Linked DNA regions of Oreochromis niloticus. The protein of the gene in region 2 purifies or fractionates together with the protein of the main gene of each other region. This does not show direct contact. Links are inferred from orthologs where the notes say so. Each region holds a gene or a part of one and is shown on either strand. Other genes may lie near its edges.

Evidence for each region.
Region 1: the proteins of strn3 (region 2) and tcp1 purify together in Homo sapiens (affinity purification with mass spectrometry; 3 studies listed by BioGRID and IntAct, with this or other methods). This does not show direct contact. The link is inferred for Oreochromis niloticus from reciprocal best matches to the Homo sapiens genes STRN3 and TCP1.

The regions. Positions count from the first base shown.
Region 1 is NC_031980.2:12,365,094-12,373,074, reverse strand, and holds the start of tcp1 (T-complex protein 1 subunit alpha), read left to right. Parts: upstream 1-4,972; 5' UTR 4,973-5,054; coding exon 5,055-5,127; intron 5,128-5,369; exon of another isoform or gene 5,370-5,507; intron 5,508-5,608; coding exon 5,609-5,694; intron 5,695-5,982; coding exon 5,983-6,111; intron 6,112-6,432; coding exon 6,433-6,530; intron 6,531-6,618; coding exon 6,619-6,729; intron 6,730-6,841; coding exon 6,842-7,023; intron 7,024-7,361; coding exon 7,362-7,488; intron 7,489-7,802; coding exon 7,803-7,978; intron 7,979-7,981. Other genes in the region: pleckstrin homology domain-containing family G member 1, read left to right, coding at 494-1,473. UniProt on the Homo sapiens protein: Component of the chaperonin-containing T-complex (TRiC), a molecular chaperone complex that assists the folding of actin, tubulin and other proteins upon ATP hydrolysis.
Region 2 is NC_031983.2:3,680,880-3,688,819, reverse strand, and holds the start of strn3 (striatin-3), read right to left. Parts: upstream 3,007-7,940; 5' UTR 2,462-3,006; coding exon 2,195-2,461; intron 1-2,194. Other genes in the region: ap4s1 (AP-4 complex subunit sigma-1), read left to right, coding at 3,714-3,911, 3,996-4,082, 4,170-4,238, 4,628-4,660, 5,013-5,141; E3 ubiquitin-protein ligase HECTD1, read right to left, coding at 6,696-6,833, 6,914-7,058, 7,135-7,285, 7,731-7,824, 7,924-7,940. UniProt on the Homo sapiens protein: Calmodulin-binding scaffolding protein which is the center of the striatin-interacting phosphatase and kinase (STRIPAK) complexes.

The DNA of each region.
Region 1 (7,981 bases), on a different chromosome or scaffold from region 2:
TGAATGAGGGTAGTAGCTTTCCTGTGCAGGAGAAAAATGCAAGCTCGGAATTCAGCTTGAGGCCAATACAGTTACAGTGTCACCATCTCTGACATATTTTGCCAGCAGGCCCTCTTTTAACATATCCAGTTGTTGGCAAAGCTGGAATAGCAGTTGATTCAAGTTTTTCATTGTCTCAATGGATTCACTTATAAAACAACCAATAGGATTTTTTTTTTTTTAATGAAAAGACCAATGATTGGCCAAAGGTGTGAGGTATAGAAGTCTAGTTTCCTACTGAAACCACTTTAATTATATTATGTTGAGGTTATTATTGAATATTTGTCCAGTGAGGGCCAAAAATCTGAGTTTTAAGATACTCAAAATACTGTTACATATAACAAAAGGAAAAAATGGTGCCGTTATTGTATACCAGTGCTGTTAGTTTATGAGCAACAATGCAAACATACCTCACTCACACTTCTTTTGCATCATTTTTTTCTCCCATCTTAAGGTGCACGGATAGCAGAGTACTCCCATCTGTATGACCAGGTGATGTTTAAAGATTCCTCCAGTCCAACCTCTGCTACCCCACATCACTCCCATCCAGGTCTGTCATCTTCTCCGTCCATGCCTGAGACCTCTCTGGAAGAGGACTGGCTCCACTCTACCTACAGCAACGGAGAGCTGGCCAGCTTTGTCTCCTCGTCTAGCGAGGTGGGGGAGGCTCGAGCATCTTCTACCCCTCAGCGCAGGCTTACTTCAGCCTGCTCCACCCCTTCTTTCTTCCCTCCATCTCCGACCACTCCACCGGCACAGAGATGGAGTTCATGCATTTCGGCGCCTAGCGAGAAAGAAGAGCACGTGTACAGCTCCATTAAGAGACATCCTTCCTTTAATGCACCATCTTTGCCTGCAAAGGCCTCCCCTTCTGCTCAGTCAGTCAGTTCTACGGGCAGCCAACAGCAGGAGAAGTCTGGACTTAAATGTAATGGACTCGATGTGGATCGATCCACAGACAGACTTCATGGTCCAAGTCTAGGCCGAGCTGGCCGGCAAAGTAGCCTCCCAGAGCGGTCTACCCAGGGGCTTTCAGACCTCACTTTACACGATGGCCAAAAGGTGGTGGTCCTGAATCGGGCTTCTGCACTGAGCATACTCACCGCTACCCAGAACTACTTGGCCAACTTCAAGGACAATGGGGAAGACGATGACGACTATGTCGAAATCCGCTCAGAGGATGAGAGTGAACAACAGCGTGACAGGTTGGCGCAGAAGAACGGCAGCTCAGCTGCTCTTGCCGGTCAGAATCGGGGCGTTATCCAGTCTCAGAGTCTACCGTGCACCCCAATCCGCTCCTGCGACCCGCTGAGACCTCTGGACCACGAGCATCTGGAGAAATACCTGTGGAACGAGCCGCAGCAGAGCCAGCCCAACATCGTCCAGTCTCTGAGGGAGAAGTTTCAGTGTCTGAGCTCCAGCAGCTTTGCCTGAGGCTATGTGTCAACTAAAAAGCCAAATCTATATTAACAAAGGGAACAATTCTGCTTGGCCTTGAATGCCCTACATCTTAAAACACAAAGAAATATAAAGCAAATATAACACAACTCTCAGTGTAGATCAGCCATATTTGTAATGACATGTTAATGCCTTTGCCTTCTGTTACAGTGCTTTGAAGTTTAACATAATAGGTGACCATTAACGGTCAAAACGCCACATCAAAGCTTGCATGTAAGCTGCCTTAGCACTTCCAGAGATCGGGGTGGGGGGGTGAGGGGTCGCTAGAGAAAAGCAAAGTTCTCAATTGTCTGTAAAGGGAATCCAGTGTGACTGAAAAGATTTTAATATTCAAACTCTTCGATTGCTTTTTGTGTTGAACCTTGTAGACATAACTGGTGTCATATGAACTGTTGTACAGTAGTTCAGGATACTGACTGAAATGTACTCTCTTCTGTGCTCAAGGTCTTAGACTTAGACTTAAACATCTGGTGGACTTTGACAGATTGTGACCACCACCATGTCAGAAGTACCTCTTCAACCATGTTCTTAAGGTTAATTTTAACTGCACTTTCATCTCTAGTTAATATTTACCTATATAGGAGAGGTGACCCAGAGTCGTGGCTAGTTTTAAAACAAATTTGCTTACACCATCAAACAGTTCCAAACAAGCAGCTTTACAAATATACAGTTCAGATTTGCAGTCTTCACATGTGCTACTCAGGCTAGTTTTTCACCTTTAGGTGGCTAATACAAGACCCAATAGGTTAAGTATGACTAAACATAGACTTGTAAGTCTATTTGAAGTTATTGTACGTCACTCTGCCTACCACCTTTCTAGGGTATTGTGCTTTAAAAATTGAGAAGATGCTGATATTTTAGATGATCAATAAGAAAAGATAGGATTAAATATTTATTTTGAATCTGTGAGCAAATCGGAAATGTTTTTACGTGTTAATGTCTGGGGCCATCCATCGTGCACAGCTTAAATGTTCATCTCAATAAATAAATCGTATGTGTGTGTGTGTCAATTTTTTTTTTTTTTTTTTTTAAATATTATAATTTAACCTTTGCTTTTAAGAGGGACCACAAAGGAAATGATTAAGGAGACTTACTACAGTACTGTATATGGTGTAGGTTTTTTTTGTTAGTGTTTTTTTTTTTGTAATGGATCATCAGCTGTTTGTTTACCTTGTTTACGTCTTGGGACACTCCCAACTGTCACACTACTGATATTACATCCTCACTCCCAGAAAGTCACCTCGACGGTTCGCCAACACATTTGTTTTTTCTTTCCCATCAAAGCAAACCCAAGATTTATGCCACACTTGTTTAATTTCTGAATGTCCTATTTATTTGAAAGCATCCCTCTGTTACTGCCCCGTGTCACTATTACTGCGAGCCACCGACTGGTTGTAAATGAAAGAATATATTTATTGAAAGAGAGTTTTATTATTATTTAGGAGCTCACAAAATTTGTATCAAATACTGTGAATATTATCCGAAAATGTTTCTATCACGCACTGCTTGATAAATACTTACGAAAAGAAAACCCCACAAACACTTAAAAGCACAAGATCGTGGCCTGTTGTTCATGTCAGGAAAATTGCGTCAAACACAAGTTAGGAATATGAAGTATTTTTGTTCCATTGTACATTTTCGTCCTGTTTCACTGGTGGGGATTGTCAGTTTTCATTTACTTTTTCTTTTCTTTTTTGCACTTTTTTTTGTCTTTTTTTTTTTTTTTTTTTTTTTTTTACGTTGAATTTGTAAACACTTTGTAAAGATGTACATTTTAGGAAGGTTATTCTTCTATGCCATAGGTATGCTTTTTAATGCTTTGATGTTTAAGTTAAGTCTACTGTATTTTTTTAACTGGCTAGATGTCGTGGCTCAAACTATGTTGGAGGTAATAAATACAGATTAAACTCACCTTTGTGTGTGTGGTTTTTTTTTTTTTTTTCTTCCTCTTGTTATCTCTCCACACTGAATAATAGGACTCACAGCAGTCAGGAAACTTTTCTTTATGTACTACAGTTCTTATTAGCAGTAGAGCATGCATGTCATTTACTTAAGTAAAACTGTTTGCAATGGCAGAACACTTCCCAGCACTGAAAGGCACTTCCCGGCACTAATGGTATGACTTTCAAAATCGTACATCACCTCATTCTTAAATTATTGCATTCACAAACATATGTGTCCGCTCTGCCTGGCCAGTTGACGACAACACCCCATTCAGCCTTTTATAGCTGAGCAGTCAAAACTGAGCAAAAATGCTAAATGAGTTTAAAACAATTAAATAATAATAAAAACTAGACCCCATGAACCTTTCAGTTTAGGTCTGGACTTTGACTGGCTCATCTCAGCAACTTGCTTCTTTTCTATTTCAGCCATTGTATTGTAGAGTTGCTGTTGTGTTGGGACCTGTGTCCTGCATAACTCAAGTTGGCAAAGCTTTAGCTGTCAGACAGATGGCCTCACATTTGACTCTAGAATGCTTTGTTACACAGAGGAGTTCATGGTCAACTCAGTGACTGCAAGATGTCAAGGCCCTGTGGCTGCAAAACAAGCCCAAATCATCAACCTTCCACCGCATACTTGACATTTGGTTTGAGGTATGTTCAGATGCAGCTTTGCAAACATAAACCATGCTGCCATCTTGTTTTTATAAAGAAGAGGCTTTTCTTTTTCTTCCAAACATGTCATACTTGTTCCCTCTTAATTCTTAAAGTAAGGGTGTACTTAGATTTCCAATCACTGCTTTCACTCTTCATCTTGGCTTAGTTTTTGATAAATAAACATAACGGCATATGTCATGTTTTATAATTAATCTGAGGTTGTAGTTACCTAATCTTAAAATCTGCTAAGGACTAGATTATTATCCTGAAATGTGAAACAGAATTTAAAGAGGGTGTACTTTTGTTTCACCATGATTTTGTAAATAAAAATATTTAAGCCATTCGAAAGTAAATGTGTTTGAAATGGAAATATCATCTCTAATATATTATTTCCAAGCCACTAATTTGTCTCGTCGCTAAACATATTATGAAATTGAGTATATGGAATTTGTGAGTGAAAGCAAATATAAAAATAATTCAAATAGTTTTAACTTTCTGTTGATGTACTGACCAAAAATAAATACAAACAAATATTCATCTTTCAATACAAAAATAAAGAAAATACCGCATGAAACTAAGGAAAAAGTCGACAAAAAATAGGATATTCATCCGCATAACCACAGTATCAACAGTAGCAGGCGCACAAACAGCTTTAGAGCTTCGGAAGAACCAAGAAGAAGAACTAGGGCGCGGCGCGGTTGTTTTGGGGCATGCTGGGAAATGAAGTTTATAAGAAATGACTCAACAAAAACGTTGATTTGTAATTTAAAAAGGGAACGACATCACGTGAAAAAATGTAAAACATTTAATAGCGAGTTCTACAACACAATTAAAAGCTCCCATACTGAAAAGATCGAGATTCTTAAGATATTTTCTTCTCGAACCTTCTTCCCAGTACCGGTTTACCCATAGTGCACTGCGCAGCTTCCTTTCTTCTCGGTTGTGCGGTGGTCCAAAAAAATGTCGCTATTAGACGGTCCGTTAAATGTGCTCGGCCAGAGGACAACTGGCCAATCTGTTCGCACTCAAAATGGTGAGTTTATGCGCTGCTTAACTTTGTCCGTGAGACAAAATTAGCGTCTCTGCTATGTGTTTATTATAACGGGCAGGAGAACGGTTTCATGCAACACACGTGTGGATCACGCTAATGCTAGCTAATGTTAACTTAGAGATTGTGCTTCCTGTCTATTACTATTATTATTAGTATTATCATTATACTACAGCACTGAAAATCTGTTCTGTCTCAACTCTTGCAGCACGTGTTGCAATTGTCTAAATCCCATTTTAGTACCGTCCACTCGCACTACAATGAATGGAGGGTTATGCTAATGGGATAGAAAAACTCTGTCATGGTCTGAAGGTGTGGCGAGCTGAATGTGCGCCCCTCTGAATGAAATGACAGCATATCCCTCTGACTGAGGTCCGAAGGGTCAAAGGATGTGCCTAGTATCTTTAGATGCATTGAACTTGTTGCTTCACGCTCGGTAGTTACAGCGTCCTTTTCGCTTCTGCAGTTATGGCCGCAGCATCCATCGCCAACATCGTCAAGAGCTCGCTCGGACCCGTTGGCCTCGACAAGATGTTGGTGGACGATATCGGGGTCAGTATCACGTTTGGAAGCCTTTTGTATCACGCTCTGTTTATATGCCATTAAACAAAGGTTACTGTAGTAAACTAAAGTAAACAGAAGGTTTAAATTAGCGATCAAATACATGAAGAAATCAACTTCAGATTGTGCAAAATGCAGCAGCCAGACTTCTTACAAAAACCAATAAAACTGAACTGAAGCGTCAACACTGCATAGGGTTTAGATCATGAGGCAGAAACTATAATAACCACATAAAAGCCATAGTTGCTTATCAGTTGTGTTTTGTGGTTGTTTCGACAGGACGTGACCATCACCAATGATGGAGCAACCATCCTGAAGCTGCTGGAAGTGGAGCACCCAGCTGCAAAGGTCCTGTGTGAACTGGCTGATCTGCAGGACAAGGAGGTTGGCGATGGGACAACATCTGTGGTGAGTAGCTACCACTAGCTCTACTGGTGTTTGTGAATGCAGCTAATTTGTTGGATTTTACATAATACAGAGCTTCAGAAACTGAATTGCAGCATCCTGTTTTAGTACTATGCACCTGCCTCTTATTACGGGTGTGTGGCTATGCTAACAGGAAAGAGAAACTGTCCATCATGATCTGAAAGGGTCGAGCAGCCTCATTTCTGCCACCCTTAAAGAAATGATGGTACAGAGCATGATCCGTATCTTTTGAGTTTTATTGTTGATAGAAAATAAACTAGTTCCCAGCTTTTAGCTCTCATTGTTTGCGTTTCTCTTTCTCAGGTAATTCTTGCTGCAGAGTTGCTCAAGAGTGCCGATGAGCTGGTGAAGCAGAAAATTCATCCCACATCAGTCATCAGTGGATACCGTCTGGCTTGCAAGTAAGATGTTAAATGTAAAATCATCCAAATAAGATCATGTAGGGTCTGTTGCAGTTTTGTGACGCTCAAACTTGCCGTTATCTTTTAGAGAAGCAGTCCGCTACATTACTGAGAACCTCACTATTGGAACAGACGACCTGGGAAGAGAATGCTTAATCAACGCCGCTAAGACCTCCATGTCTTCCAAAATCATCGGAGTGTATCCTTGATTTGTTTGCAGGAAATCAGCAAAATTTACCAGTGTTTATATTTTGCATGTGCAGAAAGCTCTTCTCACTCTCTAAAGTATCTGCCTTGACCCAAGCCTTCAGTGATGCAGACTTCTTTGCTAACATGGTGGTGGATGCTGCCATGGCTGTGAAGTTTGTGGACAGCAAGGGGGTAGCTAAATATCCCATCAACTCAGTTAATGTGCTGAAAGCCCATGGCCGCAGTCAGAAGGAGAGTTTCTTGGTCAACGGGTATGCACTGAACTGCACAGTCGGTTCACAAGGTAAGTCTGTCACAAAGCCTGAAATTCATGGATTTTAAGTGTAAAAAGTGAGGATTTGCACAATGTTGGTGATTTCTTTTGATTAGACTCCCATTTAAATTTGCTGCTATGTCTTTCCTGATGGTGTATGCAGTGATACGCGTGGGAGACAGTAACCATGGCTAAGAGAAAGATGGTCACAGCAGTTTGTGAACTGTGGCAAAGCTTCTTTTGGCCTCACAGTAGAATAGTTCAGGGACCGTTTTTCCCTTCAAACGGTTTTGTAACTGTTTTTATAATTTTCTCATAATGAATTTTTATTGTCCTTTGGATTTTTAAAATGATGTATTGTGTCACAGGCATGGTGAAGCGTGTCGTTAATGCCAAGATCGCTTGCCTGGACTTCAGCCTGCAGAAGACCAAAATGAAGATGGGTGTACAAGTTATTATTAACGACCCAGAGAAGCTCGACCAGATCAGACAAAGGTGACTTTTGAACATTTTTTTTCTTTTTCTTTAAACAGACACATTTTTAAGAATCATCCCATTAAATTTACTGTGTTGCTTCATCATTAGCTGACACAGTGATACGCGTGGGAGATATCATAAGCAGCCACATGTGAAGGCAGCAGCTCTTCTCTGAGATGCATGACTACTAATGTTGGCCGGACACTTTGTGCATCGCATGTCTTTATAATTATACTGTTTAAAGTATTGCAGCTTATTGTGAAACTGATAACAAAGCTCCACACAAAGGAAATGTGGAGGTAAAACTAAATATGTATTTTGTGTGGTTCCAGGGAATCTGATATTACCAAGGAGAGGATCCAGAAGATTTTGGCATCAGGCGCAAATGTTATACTGACCACTGGTGGCATTGATGACATGTGTTTGAAGTATTTTGTGGATGTGGGAGCCATGGCTGTTAGACGAGTTTTGAAGAGGGACCTCAAACGCATCGCAAAGGCAACAGGAGGTA
Region 2 (7,940 bases):
ATTCCTAAAGAACAGGAAGGTTACCGACCGCAACTGTAATATTCAAATATGAATTTCTGTCTGTGTAGACAGCAACAGGTGTGATTTTCAATGATTTATCACAGTTTACTGCTGTATTATCAGAAACAGAGGGGATGTAATTGCCAACTTGACCCCATTCGATTGCAGACTGACAGCAGACTGAATCCATCTTATAGCAACATTTATGGCAGGTGTTGCTATAGATGCTCTCATTTTGCAGCAAAAAAATATAAATAACTGAAGTGAGATAACTTTATTTTACTGGATAAAAACAAATACTTACAAAGTTCAACTTTGAGGAAATTATCTGCAGTTGAAAAAAGGTCACAAATCATAATGTATGTTATGGCAATACTCAGTATATCACAAACAAAATGTTAAAAATTGCAATATCATCATATCATCACTGAGGTATTGTGATAATATTGTATCGTGGAGTGATGGTGATTCCGACCTGTATTAGAGCTTTATATAGAACAATTTATGTAAAAATCTACTTTTGACTGCTTTCTTGTCACAAAGGCTTGCTACAAAGAGTTGCCACAGCGGGTAGCTCCACATGTTTGATTTGACAGAGTTTCTTTTTTACTCCAGATGTTCTTCCTGACCCAACCCCAGAGAGGATTTATGTTGCCTGCTAAAATCAAACCTGTGCCCTTTCTCTTACCAAGGGAATGTGTTAACCACTATACCACTGGAGACACATACAGAGCAGTATTAAATTACATACATTTTCTATGTATTTAATAATTGTGTGAATTAAAACATCTTCTTACAGCAGGAACTATACAAGTAGCAGGAAACTTATAAAAGCAAATACTGTTGTTCAAATAAATACATAAAATGGTTCTGCCATACCCCTATTTGATGGCCTCATGGTGAATACACTCTAAACAGTGGTCATAAATAGCTTAAAGAAACTATTAGTTAATCCAAGTGTATGTAACACTAAACTGATCTTACATGGATACCTGTCAAAACAGATACAAGATTTGATAACTCATTTATATGTCAAAGAATTAGCCTTGTTTATTACAAAACAAAGACATGGTATTCTTTTTACAAGGAAACCAAAGGCACTCTAAACTGGCTTGGATTTAAATAAATCTACACGGTATAAAAATGTCTTGTCTTTGTTTGTTACTTAATGCTACTGATTATCATATTAGTACATGCAACATTCAATGGGTGATTACATTTTATCAGCCTAAGTGCATGGGCACCCCATTTACTGAGACTATGAAAAACTAGAAATGCTCTCAATTTATCATGCCTGCTAAAAGTGTTGACCTTTTATCTGATTGTCTTACCCTCCTAACTTACAATTGTAACGCTGATAGTTAAGGTCTGCCTTTTATCTTATGATTTTAAAATTCAAGTGTTTTTATTCTTAAATTTAATTTTAGTTTATAAATTTGACTTTTATCAAATATGACAGCAAGATCCGACTTTAATATACGGGCTTGAACATTTTGTTTTTATTTTGTATCTCATGTTTATAATACTTTGATGTCACATAATTTTTATCTGGCAATACTAACTAATACTAATACTAAGAGTTTATTTCATCATTCATACTGAAAAGAATAACTTTTAAATGGTTACGCAGTTTTCCTCCAATTTCATTTCTTTTCCTTATGTGCTGTGAATCACAGTCGCTCGGGCCCAGCTGTTGACTCAAAAGCAACATTAGCGACTAACACTGCTAACAGCTAGCGTGACAAACCAAAATGACTAAGATTAGATAGCTGACAGTCGGTTGGATTCACTTCTCCATTGCTAGCTAGCGTCTGAACTCAGTTTCCACAGTGGGAAAGTTTTAGCTTAATATGAACAAATGAGCTAACAGAGGAGAACGGCAACAACAGCTTCAGCTACCTGCTAAATTTGTCTGACACCGACTGAAGCTAAGCGCTACCTCTAGTCGAGCTAACGGTAACCCAGAGCTGACCCTTTAGCTTAGCCACTTAGCCAGTCGGGTTAAAAATATCGAGCTTAGCTGCTTTTGCCTCCCGTTTAAACCAAGGCCATGCCTAACTAATCGATGAAATTATAGATTAAATGTTGCAACACTGCCACTACCTCTCTAAAACCAATTGTCTACACACTGTCCATGTTGTTGTTGTTGGGGTTTAGCATGGTTGGAATTCTGTGCTAAGTTGGGAGGGCTAACCTGAAGCTCGGCCCTCTCCACTTCCCAGTGCGCCCTCTCCATCTCGAACCGGGCCCACTCATGCTGGATGTAGTGCAGGATGCCGGGGATTGTGTACTGCTGCTGCGGCCGAGGTAGCTCATCGGGCTGGTGTGGTACCATGACTGCTCCGCCACCACCGCCTCCAATTGGTGGATTCGCGCTACTGTTATTCCCCTGCTGCTGTGGTGGCGGAGGCTGTCGTGGGGCACTTGTTCCGACCCCTCCTCCGCCGGGGTGTTCGTCCATAATTTTTTTTTTTTTTGAAAAGTAGAAGGAAAGTCTCCACAGGCAGCAACGATCCGCGGAGGGATCCCCGCCCCCTAAAGCCCGTGTCTCAGCTCCGTGCCTGTCTAGCTGGCTCCGCTGTGTTGTGTAAAACTGGCTTTCCTCGGAGCGGTGTGGTGCGCGCGGCTGACTGAGGACTTGGTGTTTGTGTATAGAGCTAACCGGCCGCCATTACTGTTCTCTTCCCCGACCTCTCTCTCTGTTTCTCTAGATCCTGATGGTCAAGGTGGGAGAACCCAGCCGCAATGCCTGACGGGACACATCCATCCTCCTTTTCCCTTCCTGCTATCCAAATATGGAACCTTCACGGCTCAAGGAAAGGGTAGTAAAATATAACTCTTTAACGGAGCATATATTAAGATGTATGAGGAAATACAGCAGTTTTACCTTTAGCTATCAGACATATTGTGGTTGTTGTCTATCGCTCCTTTTAAGTACCACAACCACAACTTGTAAACAGCTGAATCTAAAATCCCGTCCAGGATCGTACCGACCAATTTTAAACCGTGAGTACAGTACAATAAATTATGTACAAGGTATATATTTTGCATCTTTCAAAGGAGGAAACATGCAAACATCGGTGGGATTTTCTTTTGGATTGTTTGCGTGGAATAATTACTCCCTCAAATGTCTTAATGCTTAAGTTACGAGCATGTTTTGAAAGTATAAGTAGAAAGTACTTGCGTTCAAATGTAGGAAATAACTGTTACCCTGGAATGCACCTATCTACGCATGCGTACCAAATGCTATTGCTGTATATCGTTGGATTTCGTCTTTCGTTCGTATTTATTTACCTTTACGGTACTTTACAGTAATCTGACTTTAATCCTGTAAACCGAAAGCATCGTGTTTAAAATAACATTAGCTTGGGGCAAAAACTCGCTAGCAGAAGTTCCCATTTTAGCCCGTTTGATGGGGTTAATGTAGCATCTGGCACAAGCTAACAGCTGGCGGTAAGTAAAACAAACGTTCAGCTTAATGACTGATGTGTTACACAGTTTCCTGACCATCTGAAAGTTATGTTGTATTTAAACGGCACTAAACTTGTTAAAGAGAAATGTAATGCTGAGGGTGTAGGATTTGTTAATGTCCTCCTTGACTACTCCGGTGACCCAGTAGTGGTAGGTAACCAACAAACTCAGTTTTTGTATTACTATACAACAAGAAGCGGGTGTTCAATGTATTAGATTGCAATATCTCATACCATGGGACAATGGTCTGTACTGATAATATTGACTTTACGATTCCTCTGCAGCCAGCAGCCGATCGGAGAATGATCAAGTTCGTGCTAATGGTAAACCGACAGGGTCAGACCAGGCTGTCCAGGTATTATCACTCTGTGGAGCTGAGCAGGAGAGCAGCGCTTGAGGCCGATGTAGTACGCTACTGCCTGAGCCGCAAGAAAGATCAGGTGTCTGTCTGCGAATTCCCAGTCTCGTTTAGATCGAATAAATAACATAACAATATCATGTTTTTAACCTCTCTCTGCTTGCAGTGTTCCTTTGTGGAGTACAAAGACTTTAAAGTGGTTTACCGCCAGTATGCTGCTCTGTATATCGTGGTGGGCATCACAGACAGTGAGGTGAGTCTGATCGGAGGTATTTTACACCTCAGCGTTTTCGTCCTTTCAATGGTCAACAGGACGTGTTTCTCCTCTTTACTCTCACAGAATGAGCTGTCCATCTACGAGCTGGTTCATAACTTCGTGGAGGTCTTGGATAAATACTTCAGCCGGGTGGTGAGTTCAGTTTGATCGAGGTTCTTACAAAAATAAATACTGGCAGCCGCCAGTGCTACCCCTCAGCCTCCTAGTAGATGCATCTGTGGTAGAAATGTGAAAATCCTAAAAAGCCTCTGAACTTGAGGTCAAAGTCACAATGACTAGCTATTTAGTAGATGCACCTTTGAATTAAAAAGTAAATTCTACCTCACTTAATTCTCGAGCTATACTGCTGAAAACCGTTGGATCCATTATCAGTGCAGGTCTAAGGCAGGTCTTAAAAGCATTAAAAGTAATGATTACAGTTTCAAACATATATTGTATACTTTTTGAGATGTCTGTAACAACAAATGAAGACTGTTGAAATGCATGAATCATAGAAAGCTGCTGCTGTTTGAATATTTCAGTCTGTGTATTTCTCCCTACAGAGTGAACTGGATGTATCCTGTAACACAGCCACAGCTGCACACACTGTGCTTTTAGCATGACATGCAGTGCATATTTTACCAAAGCCCAGTAATTTTTAATTCCTTATTAACCAATTTCAAATCACCTTTACACCAGATGTCAGAGCCAATAATAAAGCTCCTTCATTTACATTTTATGGTCAGCTGAAGGACAGTGACCATTGACAAGGACACAGAATGGCGCAAAGAAAAAAAAGAAAGAATAACCTGGAGACACAACAGATTTAGAGTTGAGGTCAAATATTAATGTAAAAGTTACCCATCACTATTTGTTCAGTAGGAGTCTTTGTCTTTCTTTATTTCCTTGACCCTTCGCCTTTATCAGATAATGTTCAATCTGGATCGAGTTCATATCATCCTGGATGAGATGATCCAGAATGGACACATTGTGGAAACAAACAAGAGCCGCATCCTCGCTCCCCTCACCGCCATTGACAAGATGGTGGAGAGCTGACAAAAAGAAGAAAGGGAGTCACGGACTGTCCTTCAAGCTCGAGGAATGGCCCACAGCTTACTGTATGAATTTAGAATCTGGTTAAAGGTACTGATGTTAAAAAAAAAAAAAAAAAAAAAACAACTACTCAGTGCCAACATGAACTCTGGTCAGCATATTAATACACATCTGTATACTGTATCCAGATGTTTGAGCTGCACAGCTGAGAGCAGGAAGCCTCCCTCTGAAGTTGGCCAGTTTGAATTATTCAGGGGGAAAACTGGTTGTGTGAATTTAGCGGGAAATAAATTACATTTTTTAAATTTGTCTTTTGGGGTATTGGGAGACCACAGGGATTGTTTTGACTGAGCTGGCCACACATGTAAAATATCTGTAACAAACCAAAATGTAAAGACATGTGGCGGTATTTTTTGTATATGTATAAACCTAAAACATTAATAAAAATATATATATATATATATAAAAAAAGCTGTCTAATATGTAATAAAACAAAAAAAAAAATTAAATAACTATTTCATTTTAAAAAAATATAATGTCCTAAATACTGAAACAACATCTGTATAATAAGTTTGAAATTTTTTTTTAGAAAAAGGCTACAAGATAAATCTCTAAATCAATACTACATCTCTACGCGGTGATTTTCAGCGACTGGACTGCTGTAGATGATGGATCTGCTTCAGCCTCATGTTGGTTGAAGTGCAGCTGTAATACTGAAACACTTAAACTCCACTACAAACAAGTCAAAATTCAACTTGAAAACAAAATGGAAAAAAAAAAATAAATAATCAAAGATTCATATTCTTCCACAGACCACAGGACTCATTCTTTACTTCATACTTTGCAAACATTTTAATGATTTTTTTTGGGAGCATACACATTTGAAAATATCTGTTTACCTCAAACTGCAACTTGAGTTAAATAAATGTTTATAATATACAAAGAAAATACAGGGATAGCAGAGCTTTCTTTTTTTTTTTTTTTTTAAATCTTTCTCTTTAGATGTGCCTTGCACACAGCCAGTGTTTTTGTCTCCATAGCTTCATTGTAAAACAAACACCAAAGGCTCTCTGACCTTTGACCTTTACAACTGGTCAGTAACAACCAGAGAACTGTCGCACACACACAAAAACAAAAAGCAATAAATGGGGATGGGGGGATCCATGAACATTTCAGGGAGGAGGAAGTGAAAACAGAAGCTATGAGTCAAACCAGGCACCAAACTGAGAGCAGACAGGAGGAGGAGATCAGCACACACACGCACGTACACACAAACACACGCAAGCCTGCAGCATCAAAGCTGGGAACAGAGCAGCAGCAGCAGCTCAGGATGGTGAGGAAGATGATGCTGCTGCTGATGAAGGAGGCGGTCAGAGAGGTGTGAAAGACGTGAGAGCGTTTCTTTCATTTTGTTTCTGCAACATAAATCCTCCTCCTCCTGTAGCAGGAGGTCCGGCCGTCAGTCCGTCAGCTGGTTTGGATTGGCTGGCTGATCCGTCAGTCACAAGGCGAGACGGACAGATGACTTGAGAAGCATGCTCAGTGTGGCAGCGGTGGTCAGTTGAGGTGGAAGCCTTTCTCCATGGTAGCGGCTAACAGGCGCTCCCTCATGATGTCCTCAGATGAGTACTCGGGCAGCTTCAGGTAGTGAACACAAGTGTTGACAGATGGGTAGCTGGAGTCTGTGGCATCCACCTACGGAGGCAACAGTCAGTCAGCTTACTGACTAAAACTACCTATATTAACAAACTCAGTCATTTAGAGAGCCAGTTTACCTTCCTGACGATAGTGAGGCGGGGGTGCAGGTTGGCAAGACCACCAGGTGGCAGGGTGGAGCAGCCAGTGGTAAACTGCAGGAAGGCTTTACGCTCATCAGATGACATTCCACATAAGACTCGCACAAACCGCAAGAAGCCAGGGCTGAAGGAGGAGGAGAGGTTAAATACATGATGCCGTGGCTCAGTGTTTCCATTAGTGTTGATGTAACATGTCATACCTGTCTCTGGTGTAACCAAGCTTTGGTTCTGTGTAGTTGATGATGTCGTCAGCAGTCCAGGAAGGAGACTGGTTGCCACAGAGGATCATCTGCACCTCCTTATGGCTAAAAGAGCTTAGTTTCTCCATTGGAAACACGCGATTAAAACCCTCTGAGGAGGAGAGGACACGTTTATGATATTAGATATCCAAGTATTCACTCAATTTTAGAAATAATCACCAATTTACTAAACTGCCAGGGAAAACGAACCAGAAAAGTTTCTCGTCGCAATGGAATCAATTCTATTGTGACAATGAGTCGAGAGAACATAAGGGTCTAAAATGAGAGTCAATCTTTAGAAAAAAAAAACACCCCTCAAACTTTACCAAGACCAAGTCCAATTAGGCCACGTCAAGGGCGTTTCCAGCATTAAAACAACTGCCTCTGAACACAGAGCACTACTTTCTTGCTTTGTTATGTTGTCCACCTCTTTCCTCATTAAAACAGGAAACTATTTTATTTTGTGAAGTTTTCTAAAAAAAAACAAAAAAAAAAACAGATTTCTCCACAATGACAGGACACTGTAGAGAAACAATTTGCCAGTTTTGCACATTTACCTCTAAAGGCCTCCATCTGTTTCTGGATGCCAGTGTGCATACAGAAGTCAAACATCAACTCCACGTACTCTTCTGCATTCTCCATGGAGACCATCTATACACACAGAAAACACTCAGTGAACTCTTGAAAATGTGCAAATTTACGTGAAGATATTTCCATCCACATAAGAACCTTGTTCTGAGGCATTTTTACCTCATCGTCTCCATTTG